Anolis sagrei: one gene and its partner. The protein of the gene in region 2 purifies or fractionates together with the protein of the main gene of each other region. This does not show direct contact. Links are inferred from orthologs where the notes say so. Each region holds a gene or a part of one and is shown on either strand. Other genes may lie near its edges.

Region 1 (6,865 bases), on a different chromosome or scaffold from region 2:
GTTTATCAACAGTTGTCATTATTTGCTGTCATGTGAATGCTATATGGAAGACAGCAAAACAGTTCTGCTCAGACCTTGCAAATTCAGCAGCCATGGCTCCTATGACCGAATCCATCCAGTTGCAGTGCAATCTTCTATGAGTTCCATTAAGTACCTTCGTGTCACGATACGTTCAAAGTATAGAGGCCTCAGTTTTACCATTATTTTAGGTGACACCAAAATAATGGCCTATAAAATGTTGGGGAAGTGTTTCCGCAGAAATGTATTCTTCTTTTAAAATATTTTGTGGTGAAATGCAACCACAAAACGATGTTTCCATAAGCTCAGCTTCACATATCAACATAGCAGACAGAGTTTTCCTATTCCTTTATCTAATTTGTTGTCAACCCACTCCATTGGGGCTCACACAAATCTACCATTTGTCAAAATATATATGATCCTGTGCAATTCCTTCCAATTTCTGGCCGATATATATATAAGCACACACACATATATTCCTACTAGCCGTCCCCTGTCACACATTGCTGTGGCCCAGTCTATGTATATGTGTTTATGTTTGTATATGTGTGTTTACGTATGTATATGTGGTTTTGGCATGCGTTGCAATGTAAATTTTGTTTTTTGGCTTTTTAAGTCCCTTCTACTGTGTTTGTCAGTGTTTTTATGAGTGATGGTCACTTGTTGGCATGAGAGGTGTCTTGTGTCCAGATTTGGTGTCAATTCATCCAGTGGTTTTTGAGTTATGTTAATCCCACAAACTAACATTACATTTTATTTATGTAGATACTAGCTCTCCCCTGCCACGCATTGTTGTGGCCGTCTGATGACCTGGAAAATCAAGTAATGAGAAAGTGCTGGTTTCTAATATATGTAATGTCTTTATGCTTGTGGGTCAACAGTATTTCTTGCTGTTTCTTTGTCAGTGTTGATGTGGAGATTGTCTGATTTGCCTACTTTGGAACATGCAAGATGGAAATTGTCCTTCTTTAGGGGTCCCTTTCAAATCTATACTATATCTCTCTGTGTGTGAATCTATCTAATCTATGGCTGGATGGCTCTTTGTCAGGAGGGCTTTGATTACGTTTTCTTGACCTGGTGGAGGGAGTTGGACTGGATGGCCTTCAGTATGGGGGTTCCGTGTGGGAAGTTTGCCCCAATTCTGTCGTTGGTGGGGTTCAGAATGATCTTTGATTGTAGGTGAACTATAAATCTCAGTAACTACAACTCCCAAATGGCAATGTCCCTCAAACTCCATCTGTGTCCATATTTGGGCTTATGGAACATTCATGCCAAGTTTGGTCCAGATCCATCAATATTTGAATCCACAGTGCTCTCTGGATGGAGGTGAACTACAATTCCAAAACTCAGGGTCAATGCCCACCAAACCCTTTCAGTATTTTCTGTTGTCATGGGAGTTCTGTGTGCCAAGTTTGGTTCAGTTCCATTGTTGGTGGAGTTCAGAATGCTCTTTGATTATAGGTGAACTATAAATCCCAGGAACTACAACTCCCAAATAACAAACTCAATTTTTTGAGTGATGGTAACTCCTTGGGTTAGTAGGTGCTGTGGCCGACCTTCCCTCCCTCTTTCTCTCTCAACTTCCTTCCTTCTCTCCCTCTTTCCTTCATGCCTTCCTTTTTTCCTTTCCATCTCACTTTCCTCCCTCCTTTTCTTTTATTTTCCTTCTTTCTCTCCTTTCTTCCTTCTCTCCCTTTCCTTCCTTTGCTCTTCGCTTCCATCCTTCCTTCTCTCTTTCCTGCTTTCTTTCTCTCCCTCCCTCTTTCTTTCTCTCCTTTCTTTGCTGCTTCCCTTCCTTCCCTGCTTTACCTCTTGCCTGGGTGCTGGAAGGAAGGATCCTCGGAGCCAGGCGCAGAGCAGGCGAGAGGGAGGCGCTTCTTTCTGCCATGGCTGTGGGATGCCTCTCGAGCTGGCTGTGCTCGTGCGGCGGGGATGGGGGAGAAGATAATGCGTTTGGATGCATGCACAGTGTTCTCTTTTAAAATTTAAGGTCTTGCTGTTTTTTGGGAGGATTTTTTTTGAGTGCAGAACATAGATTGCTCTGAATGCTGTGTTCTGTCCAAATTTGGTGTCAATTCCCCCAGTGGTTTTTGAGTTCTGTCAATATCACAAACGAACATTACATTTTTATTTGTAAAAGTCCAAACTCTTTGCCATGGCTGTGGTGAGGTAAAAGCGAGGCCTTTATCTTGAATACAGTCAACTGTTTTTTTGCAGTCTGTGGGCTCCACAAATCCTCAAAGGAGTCTATTTTTCCGATTCCGATTTGTGGTGGATCTACTCATGCAAATCTACCATTTGTCTTAATATATATGATTTTATGCTATTCTTTTCCATTTCTGGCCTATATAGACATATATAGAGACTCCCAAAGGACAGTCCTGATTATTCGCCATGGCCGTGGTGAGGTAAAAGTGGGGCCTTTATCTTGAATACAGTCAACTATTTTTTTCAGTCTGTGGGCTCCACAAATCCTCAAAGGAGTCCATTTTTCCGATTCCGATTTGTGATGGATCCACTCATGCAAATCTACCATTTGTCATAATATATATGATCCTATGCTATTCTTTTCCATTTCTGGCCTATATAGACATATATAGAGACTCCCAAAGGACAGTCCTGATTCTTCGCTAAGGATGTGGGGAGGTAAAACTGAGGTCTTTATCTTGAATACAGTCAACTGTTTTTTTGCAGTCTGTGGGCAAACAATTTTTCCTATTCTGATTTGTCGTTGATCCATTCCATGGGCTTAGAATCATAGAATCAAAGAGTTGGAAGGGAACTCATGGCCATCCAGTCCAACCCCCTGCCAAGAAGCAGGAATATTGCATTCAAATCACCCAGCCTGTTTAAAAGCTTCCAAAGAAGGAGCCTCCACCACACTCCGAGGCAGAGAGTTCCACTGCTGAACAGCTCTCATCAGGAAGTTCTTCCTCATGTTCAAATGGAATCTCCTCTCTTGAAGTTTGAAGCCATTGTTCTGCGTCCTAGTCTCCAAGGAAGCAGAAAACAAGCTTGGTCCCTCCTCCCTGTGGCTTCCTCTCACATATTTATACATGGCTATCATGTCTCCTCTCAGCCTTCTCTTCTTCAGGCTAAACATGCCCAGTTCCTTAAGCCGCTCCTCATAGGGCTTGTTCTCCAGACCCTTGATCATTTTAGTCGCACTCCTCTGGATACATTCCAGCTTGTCATCATCTCTCTTGAATTGTGGTGCCCAGAATTGGACACAATATTCCAGGTGTGGTCTAACCAAAGTGGAATAAAGGGGTAGCATTACTTCCCTAGATCTAGACACTATGCTCCTATTGATGCAGGCCACAATCCCATTGGCTTCATGCAAAACTACCATTTCTCATGACATATATGATCCTGTGCTATTCTTTTCCATTTCTGGCTTATGTAGATATATATAGAGACTCCCAAAGGACAGTCCCGACTCTTCTCCATGGATGTGGTGAGGTAAAAGCGAGGCCTTTATCTGGATCACAGTCAACTTGAGGCTCTTTTTCCTTCACAAGCCTGGAATCCAGTGGCTAGGCGCGCTTCTTTCTGCGCATGCGCCTTCCCAGAACCAGCCTGAAGTTCTCCTCAACACCCCTTCAAAACGCCATTGACTTCATCCTCACCGTGGTTATGAGGAAAATGAATGTAATATGTGTACAATATCGAGAAGTCTGGGTTACGGGGCGACGGAGGGGGGGGGGGGGGGTTGGGACTCCTTTCCCGCCTCGGGTCCCAACCCCGCTTTGAGGCGGGACCCAAACAAAATGGCGGCAGGCGCGGCGGCGCCGATTCAAACGCAGCGCGCGCAGGCCGAGGCGGCGGAGGGGGCGGGGTTCTCGGTGGAGCCCACTGCGCATGCGCCCCGCGATTCAAGATGGCGGACAGTGCGGAACTAAAGGTAAAGGCGCAGTTCGGAAGGGGCCCCCTTTTCCCCCCGCAGCTTCCTTCTCCTCGTCCCCCCTGCTTGATTCCCCCTCTCCCCTTCTTTCTCTCCGGTTCTTTCCCTCAGGCTTCGGGCCTTTCCCTTCCTCTCGACCCTCCGCCGGCCTCCTGGCCTGAGAGGGAGAAAGGAGAGTTCGGCTGAGGGAGGAAAAGGCGTTCAGGAGGGGCAGCTTCCCTTCTCTTCCCTCAGGAGCTTTGTAAATGGGAGGGAGACCCCTAGGAGGCCCCCCTGGCCCCCCAAAGGAGCTGTTTCCCTCAGGAAGGGTCTTCCCTGCCGCCCTGCGAGGTAGGACACGCATTCTCTATTTCCTCCCGTTTCAGAAACTGGCTTCATAGATCCCTGGCAGGCAATATTGATTTATTTACTTATCTGAGTCGATTTGTACCCCGCTTTTCTCCCGCACCAAGGCGAGACGCAAATGCAATAAGAACAACAACTAATACTCCAGAGCAGGCATGGGCAAATTCGACCCTCCAAGTGTTTTGGACTACAACTCCCACAATTCCTAAGTTTTCCCATGCCTGGTCCAGATCAAGGGAAGTCTTAGTGCCTTTGTATTCTGCTTTGGTCAGACCTCACATGGAATTCTGTGTCCAATTCTGTTCACCACAGTTCAAAAGAGATAAAGGTTAAACAGGCATTCGGTTAAACAGTGCAATGAATACGATGAATATAGGAACGGAATCACGGATGACGAATTGGACTACGATTCTAGTTACGAGACGTTAATGTGTTGTTATTGATGTGTTATTACTTTTATACTATGCTGTTAATGGTTTTTAAACTATGCTGTTGGACTGACTTTTTGATCTTGTTGTGAACCGCGTTGAGTCGCCTACGGGCTGAGAAACTGCGGTATACAAGCAAAGTAAGTAAGTAAGTAAATAAATAAAGTGCTGGTTTTGACCTATAAAGCTCTATACCAGTGGTTCTCAACCTGGGGTCCCCAGATGTTTTTGGCCTTCAACTCACAGAAATCCTAACCAATGATAAACTGGTTGGGATTTCTGGGAGTTTTATTTATTTATTTATTTACGGCATTTATATGCCGCCCTTCTCACCCCGAAGGGGACTCAGAGTGGCTTACAATATATATTTTCATACAATATATTATATTAGCATAGTACAATATCAGTATATATTGCTATATTGCACTATACCATTATATTGTAATATTATTAGTAATATTACATGTAATGTAAATATATAATTATAATTATAATATTGAATTATTATTACTAGTATTATATTGTATTACATTATAATGTTATAAATATTATATGTATATACAATATACTATATTATATTATTAGTAAATACAAGATGGAAATGTCTTCTGCTCCCTTCTGTCTTCGCTCTGGCCAGAAGCGAAGTTGTTGGAATTGTAGGCCAAAAACATCTGGGGACCCCAGGTTGAGAACCACTGCTCTATACGGTTCTGAACCAGCTTACTTATTCGAACGCATCCACCCCTATGTCCCTCCTCGAAACCTAAGATCATCCGGGGAGGCCCTGCTCTCGCTCCCGTCAACAGCACAAATGCGCCTGGTGAGGACGAGAGACAGGGCCTTCTCAGCAGTGGCCCCCCGCCTATGGAATACACTCTCAACTGAGGTAAGATCGGCCACTTCCCTCCTAGCTTTTCGTAAGAAATTAAAGGCATGGTTTTGGGGCTAGGCTTTTGGACAATAGATGCAAGCAGCACTTTAAGGGAATGTGCCTGGAATGATGATATGGCTGATGAGACTGTTTTACTGTTTTGACAATGGCTTATGTATTGTTATTTATGCTTTTATGTCTAATTGTGGTTTTAATTTTGTAATTTGTTATGTAGTCGCTTCGGAATGGGGCCGTTCTGAGTCGGCCCCATGGGGCCGTCCTTCTCAACCTTCAGGGGTTGAGAAGGATGGGATAGAAATGCGAGAAATAAATAAATAAATAATATTGACTCTAAGCTTGGTCACCCACCAGAGGAGGGTGACCAAAATGATCAAATATCTGGTGTCTTGTTTAGTTTGAAAAAAGAGAAAGTTGAGAGGAGACATGAAAGCCATGTATCAATATGTGAAAGGATGTCATAAGAGAGGAGGGAGCCGGCATCCTTTCTGCTGCCTCGGAGACTAGGACTCAGTGGAGTAATGAGTTCAAATGACAGGAAAGGAGATTCCACCTGAACACGAGGAAGAACTTCTTGATTGTAAGAAGGGCTGTTCATCAGTGGAACTCTCTGTCATGGAGTCTGCTGGAAGCTCCTTCCTTGGAAACTTTTAAATAGATGCTGGGTGGCCATCTGTCAGGGGTACTTTGTGCTTTTCATGCATGGCAGGGGGTTGGACTAGATGGCCTGTGTGAATCTATGATAATTATTATCTTCAAACTTTATTTATATCCCATCCCATCTCCCTCTGGGGACTCAGGGTGGCTTACAACATAGATGGCAACCATTCGATGCCACACAAATACATAACAAAATACAAATACATAATAAATTAAAAATACAAATAATTAAACAATTTATCATAATGAAACATCATAACAAATCAACAAAACATGATTCACGGCAACAATTAAAAGCAAGATTAAAAGCCAGGTTGATAGATTAAAAACCATATTTTTCATTAAAGCTCTATCTGTAGACCATTAATTGTGTAGAAAGCCAGATATTGAAATGTTTGATTCTCCATAAACCTGGGAGCATAGATAACTTTTAGTTGTTTTTTGAAAGAGGGGAGCATGGGGGTCATTCTGATCTCTTTTGGGTGAGGGTTTCAGAGGTGAGGGCAACTACAGAGAGGCCCTTTCTCTCATCCCAACCAGCTGGAAGGCCAAGAGGAGGGTCTCACTTGATGAATGCAGTGTCTGGACAGGTTCATATGAGGAGAGGCCGGTGGCCAGGTA
Region 2 (6,947 bases):
AGCTCCATCCTTGCAAAATGACACATAATGTAACAATTTTTTCCCTGGGTTATAAATGTTATTTCCTAATTGGAATTATGATAAAAAAAACATGGAAAAGGTTTGTTATTTGTTTTTGCAGGACATCCTGCAGTACATTTTGCTATAGTTTTCCAATGAATATCTCATACGGTCTCAGCCAATTCAACATTGTCTGTGGCAGCCACAAAAATGAAGTTTCTCGGGTATAGCAACTACTTTCAAAGCCCCCTTCCACACAGCTGAATAAAAAACCCCATTATCTGCTTTGAGCTGGAATATATGGAAGTGTGGATTCTGATAACCCAGTTCAAAGCAGATATTGTGGGATTTTCTGCCTTGATATTCTGGGTTATATGGAGGTGTGGAAGAGCCCAAAGTAAGTTCTGCACAAGTAAACAGGAAATAATGCTTTCAAACCAAGAACAGAACATTTTTCATTTTTTTTCCAAACAGTGTAATCATTGAACTGTTTGCTTCTCCTGTGTGCAAATCCTATCCCATGGACACAATAGATTTATGCTAGAAAGACTTAAGTCACTGATGCATTGGCTATGATGATGATGATGATGATGATGATGATAATAATAATACAACAGCCAGCGATCTTGTTTGCTGTGTACAAATCTTGTTGCATTTCTAATAATAATAATAATAATAATAATAATAATAATAAAGTCAACGACAGATCCCAAGTGTAGACTCTGCAAGGAAGCAGAGGAAACAATAGATCACATCTTCAGCTGATGCAAGAAGATCACTACAAGTAGAGGCATAACACCGTTGCGTAGATGATTCATTCGAACTTGTGCCACAAATACCATCTGCCTGTGACAAAGAACTGGTGGAATCACAGGCCGGAAAAAAGTTATAGAAAATGAACACACCAAACGCTTTTGGGACTTCTGAATTCAGACAGAGTTTTGGAGCACAGGACTCCTGACCTCACGATCATGTTACAAAACAGAGTGTGGATGTTGCAATCCCAGACGACAGCCGGATTTAAGAGAAGCAACTGGAAAGGCTGACACAATATGAAGATTTAAAGATTGAACTGCAAAGACTCTGGCACAAGCCAGTCAAGGTGGTCCCAGTGGTGATCGGCACATTGGGTGCAGTGCCTAAAGACCTTAGCCTGTACTTAAACACAATTGATGCTGACAAAATTACCATCTGCCAGCTGCAGAAGGCCACCTTACTGGGATCTGCACGCATTATTTGCCGATACATCACACAGTCCTAGACACTTGGGAAGTGTCCGACGTGTGATCCAATACAACAGCCAGCAGAGTGTCCGCTGTGGACTCATCTTGTACTGTTTCAAATAATAATAATAATAATAATAATAATAATAATAATAATAATACACAGTCCTAGACGCTTGGGAAGTGTTTGATACGAAATCCAGGATATAGATCTCATTTGCTGTGACATACTGTATTTTTGTGTCAGTAAAATAATAATACCATTATTTATAAAGGTATTATTATTGCCCCTCTAGCCGAAGATTTTAATATATTTTTTTTAAAAAGGAAACTCATGGGTACTCTCTAATATAAGGTTACAATATCTTAAGGCCCTCCCAGACAGGCCCTCTATCCCAGGACCTGATCCCAGGTTTTCAGTTTATCCCAGATTATCTGGCAGTGTGGACTCATATAATCCAGTTTAAAGCAGAAAACCTGGGATCAGATCCTGGGATAGAGGGCCTGTCTGGTGCCCCTTCCACACAGCTGAATAAAATCCCACATTATCTGCTTTGAACTGGACTATATTGCAGTGTGGGATCAGATAACCCAGTCCAAAGCAGATATTGTGGGATTTTCTGCCTTGATATTCTGGGGTATAGGGCTGTGTGGAAGGGCCCTGAGCCTAGAAGCCTGAGCCTAGAACCCTTCCGCTTCCTCCGAGCCAGATCTGCAGGTGGATCCTCCCTCCCTCCCCCTCCCCTCCCGGGGATCCTTTTTAACTTTCGCTTTCTCTGCCTGAGGCTTTTCCTCTACAAGCCTCTGTTTCCCAGAAACCACGTGGCGGCGGCTGTTCCCTGGAACGCGCCACCTCCCTCCCCTGCCCTTGCGGCCACTGCTCTCCCCCCCCCCCCCCCCGCGCTCTTAGCTTTTTTTTTGTCTTTCCAGGAAAATCAGGAGAATTATTTTTGTTGTCAGGCCAGGAAGACTTGTTGCGGTTTGCAAATGTTTACCTTGACAGCTCCTCAATGCGAGTTCGAGCCTTAAGAAGAGGCAGATAAATAATAATTATTATTATAATTATTATAATTATTATTATTATTAGTCAGCGCCAATTGTGTTTAAGCACAGGCCAAGGTCTTTAGGCACTGCACCCAGTGTGCCAATTCTGATTGTGTTGGTCAGTGACTGGATCTCAATTTCTGATTTTCCTTAAAGCTGTAGATCATCCATATACAACAAGTGGGACATTTTTGGTGAATTTCTTGCTGTTTGGTAGCCCAGATTTGTTGTTGTTGTTGTTATTGTTGTTGTTATTTTATTTGAAACACAACAAGATGAGTGCACAGCAGACACTCTGCTGGCTGTTGTATTGGATCACACGTTGGACACTTCCCAAGTGTCTAGGACTGTGTGATGTATCGGCACAGATTGTATTTAAGTGCAGGCCAAGGTCTTTAGGCACTGCACCCAGTGTGCCAATCACCACTGGGACCACCTTGACTGGCTTGTGCCAGAGTCTTTATACTGTGTGATGTATCGGCGCCAATTGTTTTTAAGTGCAGGCCAAGGTCTTTAGGCACTGCACCCAGTGTGCCGATCACCACTGGGACCACCTTGACTGGCTTGTGCCAGAGTCTTTGCACTTTGATCTTTAAATCCTATTATTATCGGACACTTCCCAAGTGTCTAATACTGTGTGATGTATTGGCGCCAATTGTGTTTAAGCACAGGCCAAGGCACTGCACCCAGTGTGCCGATCACCACTGGGACCACCTTGACTGGCTTGTGCCAGAGTCTTTGCACTTTGATCTTTAAATCCTGTTGTTGTTGTTGTTGTTGTTGTTGTTGGGTGTATACTACTCTGACATCACTTTAACTGCCATGATGGAGCAATACTATGGATTCACGAGAGTTGTAATTTTACAAGATCTACAGACCCCAGGACTCCATAGCATTGAATCATGGAAGTCATGGGAGTTGCATTCCAACAGAAAGTTGCTGTTTTGTATCTGTTCCCATGCATGCGACATTGAAGGTCCCATGTTGTTGTTGTTGTTGTTATTATTAATGTTTATATTTTAATAATATAATATTAACATAATATTACAATATAAGAAATCCTCATCATGGTAATTTTTGACTAAACATAAGGGAAATCCACCCTGGAAATAAAAATAAATGTATTCATTCTCAAAGGCTTTCATGGCCAGAATAAGTGGATTGCTGTGAGTTTTCTGGGCTGTAAGGCCATGTTCCAGAAGCATTCTCTCCTGACGTTTCACCTGCATCCTCAAAGGCTGTTGGAAACTAGAAAAATGGGGTTTATATATCTGTGGAATGTCCTGCACACCCTGGACATTATTCCACAGATATATATCACTTGTTCTAGTTTCCAACAGACCTCACAATATCTGAGGTTGCCTGCTTTAGATGCAGGCGAAACGTCAGGAGAGAATGCTTCTGGAACATGGCTTTACAGCCTGGAAAACTCACAGCAACCCATAAATGTCTATGTTTTCAGGCGCGGATGGAAGGATTTTGGCCAAAAAAAGGTAATAAAACTAAATTAAACTGACAACTCTGCTGTTTGCATCAATGACAAGCCAGAAGAGGGAGGAGGAGAAGTTGCAGGAACAGCGGTATTCCATCAAGAGGCGGCGGTCTTTCCGGATTGGTTGAGCCTAGCTGCCAGCCTCTTTTTGATTGGTCGCCTGCCTCTCGCAGTTTGCTATTTCCTGGTCAGAGGCAGTTTCGTTTTCTACAGAAGCAGAGAAGGAAGGAAAGGAGAGGCAGTGCTGCTGTGGTTGTGTGTCCGATTGTGGAGTGGGAAAACTGTGAGGTGAGTGCTGCACCTACCTTTTGAATTAATGCAATTGGATCCCCTCTCCTTTAATTGCTATGGGGTGCATCTACACTGGAGAAAAATAATGCAGTTTGGCACTTCTCTAACTGACCAGGCTCAGTTCTCTGGAATCAGGGGAGTTGTAGTTTTGCAAGGTCTAAAGCTTTCTCTGCCAAAGAGTGCTGGTGCCTCACCAAACTACAAATCCAGGCATTCCTTGAGCCATGGAAAGTGAAGTCAAACTGCATCCATCCTGCAGTATAGATGCACTCCCAGTTCAAAGCAGATAATGTGGCTGTGTGGAAGGGCCCTTAGACTTCCCTCAGGGCCCTTCCATACAGCTACATAACCCAGAATATCAAGACAGAAACATCCCACAATATATTCTTTGAACTGGGTTATCTGAGTCCACACTGCCACATATCCCAGTTCAAAGCAGATAATGTGGGACTTTATTCAGCTGTGTAGAAGGGGCTTCTGGTCCCATCTACACTGATACATAAAATCCAGGTTATCAATGCAGGTCATCCACATTGTCTGCTTTGAACTGGATTATTTGAGTCTACACTGCCATATATTCCAGTTCAAAGCAGATAATATGGGATTGTATTCAGCTGCGTAGAAGGGGCTCCTGGTCCCATCTACACTGATATATAAAATCCAAGTTATCAGTGCAGTTCATCCACATTGTCTGCTTTGAACTGGATTATCTGAGTCTACACTGCCATATATTCCAGTTCAAAGCAGATAATATGGGATTTTATTCAGCTGTGTGGAAGGGGCTCCTGGTCCCATCTACACTGATATATGAAATCCAGGTTATCAATGCAGATCATCCACATTGTCTGCTTTGAACTGAATTATTTGAGTCTACATTGCCATGTAATCCAGTTCAAAGCAGCTAGGCTCAAAGCAGATAATCTGTATGCTGTATGGAGTGTTGCAGAGGCATCAGAGATCTGTTAGTTCTTAATGAATGTAGAGATGTCTGGGTTGTTGTAGGGTTTTTGGGCTATGTGGCCATGTTCTAGAGGCATTCTCTCCTGACGTTTCGCCTGCATCTATGGCAAGCATCCGCAGAGGTAGTGAGACCTCTGAGGATGCTTGCCATAGATGCAGGCAAAACGTCAGGAGAGAATGCCTCTAGAACATGGCCATATAGCCCCAAAAAACCTACAACAACCCAGTGATTCCGGCCATGAAAGCCTTCGACAATACATTGTAGAGCTGTCTTTTCATGACATCTGGTCGCCCATTTAAGATTACCTGCTTATCCCAGCCTTTCGTATGTTCTACTTTCTTGTGTTCCAGGGGCATGTAATTGCCAAATCCAACTTTTTGGAGTACATTTATTTTTAATGTTCATATTTCATGCAGATGGCAGGTGTGGCATTCTGGGGTTGAGCAGCCTTGTCAAAGCATCAGTTATTGTTTTCAGAGAAGTAGCCTAAAAGGAGAAAGGGAGGAGTACAACAACTGGTACACGGCAGAATCTTTAAGACTGATTTTTTGGATATTCATGAAGGACATGTGTCAGATAAGAATCATTTGATCTTAAAGGTGCCACCTATATGTCTTTCCCCTCCTTCCCTTTTCTTGTTATTTGCCTTCAAGTGCAGCCAGACCTTTGGATAATCTCAAAACAGGTTACTCTTGGCAAGAACTGTTCCATGTGTTGCCAAAGGCTTTCATGGCCAGAATCACTGGTTGCTGTCATTTTTCCAGGCTGTTTGGCCATGTTCCCGAAGCATTCCCTATTGACATTTTGCGTACATCTATGGCTGGCATCCTCAGAGGTTGCGAGGTTTGTTGGAAACTAGGCAAGTTGGGTTTATATATCTGTGGAATATCCAGGGTGGGAGAAAGGACTCTTGTCTGTTGGAGGCAAGTGTGAATCTTGCAATTGGCTATCTTGGTTAGCATTTAATAGCCTTGCAGCTTCAATGCCTGGCTGCTTCCTGCCAAGGGGAATCCAGAAAACACCCAGAAAATTGGAATTCCAGATATGAAACAATCAGAGCCAGCTAACACCTCCCAACAAAGGATACACCAGTCAGGAAGCAGCCAGACTTTGAAACTGCAGGGCCATTCAGTGTGAATCAAGGTAGCCAGTTGCAACATTCACACTTACCACAAGCAGACAAGAGTTCTTTTTCCCACCCTGGACATTATTCCACAGATACATAAACCTCACTTGCCTAGTTTCCAACAGAACCCTCAACCTCTGAGGATGCCTACCATAGATGTGAGTGAAACTTCAGGAGGGAATGCTTCTGGAACATGGCCAGATATCCCCGAAAACTCACATCAACCCAAGATCTATTCCGATGTCCACCTCTGAATATATAGTCTTGACCACTTTCTGTTCCCTGCCATTTATATATATATATATATTGTCATGTCAGAAGCAACTTGAGAAACTGCAAGTCGCTTCTGGTGTAGAAAATTGACTGTCTGCAAGGACGTTGCCCAGGGGATGCCTGGATGTTTTGATGTTTTTAGCATCCTTGTAGGAAGCTTCTCTCATGTCCCTGCATGAGGAGCTGGAGCTTAGTCCCCTTCTACACAGAAGAATAAAATCCCACATTGAACTGGAATATATGGCAGTGTGGACTCCGATATGCCAGTTAAAGCAGATATCATGAAATTTTCTGCCTTGATATTCTGTGTTATATACTACTGTGTTAGATACTACTGTGTTAGATACTACTACTGATGCATGTTTCTGAGTCAATTATTCTTTTCATGGGTGATTGTAATCCTGGATCAATTTTGTAATCTAGACAAACAACAAAACAGTCCTGTGGCAATAATAATAATAATAATAATAATAATAATAATAATAATAAATGTTTATATTTTAATACTATAATATTAATATAATATTAAAATATAAA

The links. The genes of interacting proteins can lie anywhere in the genome.
Region 1: the proteins of STAT1 (region 2) and PIAS1 purify together in Homo sapiens (affinity purification with western blotting; 5 studies listed by BioGRID). This does not show direct contact. The link is inferred for Anolis sagrei from reciprocal best matches to the Homo sapiens genes STAT1 and PIAS1.

What each region holds. Positions count from the first base shown.
Region 1 is NC_090029.1:24,240,718-24,247,582, reverse strand, and holds the start of PIAS1 (E3 SUMO-protein ligase PIAS1), read left to right. Parts: upstream 1-3,849; 5' UTR 3,850-3,898; coding exon 3,899-3,922; intron 3,923-6,865. UniProt on the Homo sapiens protein: Functions as an E3-type small ubiquitin-like modifier (SUMO) ligase, stabilizing the interaction between UBE2I and the substrate, and as a SUMO-tethering factor. Catalyzes sumoylation of various proteins, such as CEBPB, MRE11, MTA1, PTK2 and PML.
Region 2 is NC_090021.1:182,696,517-182,703,463, forward strand, and holds the start of STAT1 (signal transducer and activator of transcription 1-alpha/beta), read left to right. Parts: upstream 1-3,943; 5' UTR 3,944-4,047; intron 4,048-6,947. UniProt on the Homo sapiens protein: Signal transducer and transcription activator that mediates cellular responses to interferons (IFNs), cytokine KITLG/SCF and other cytokines and other growth factors.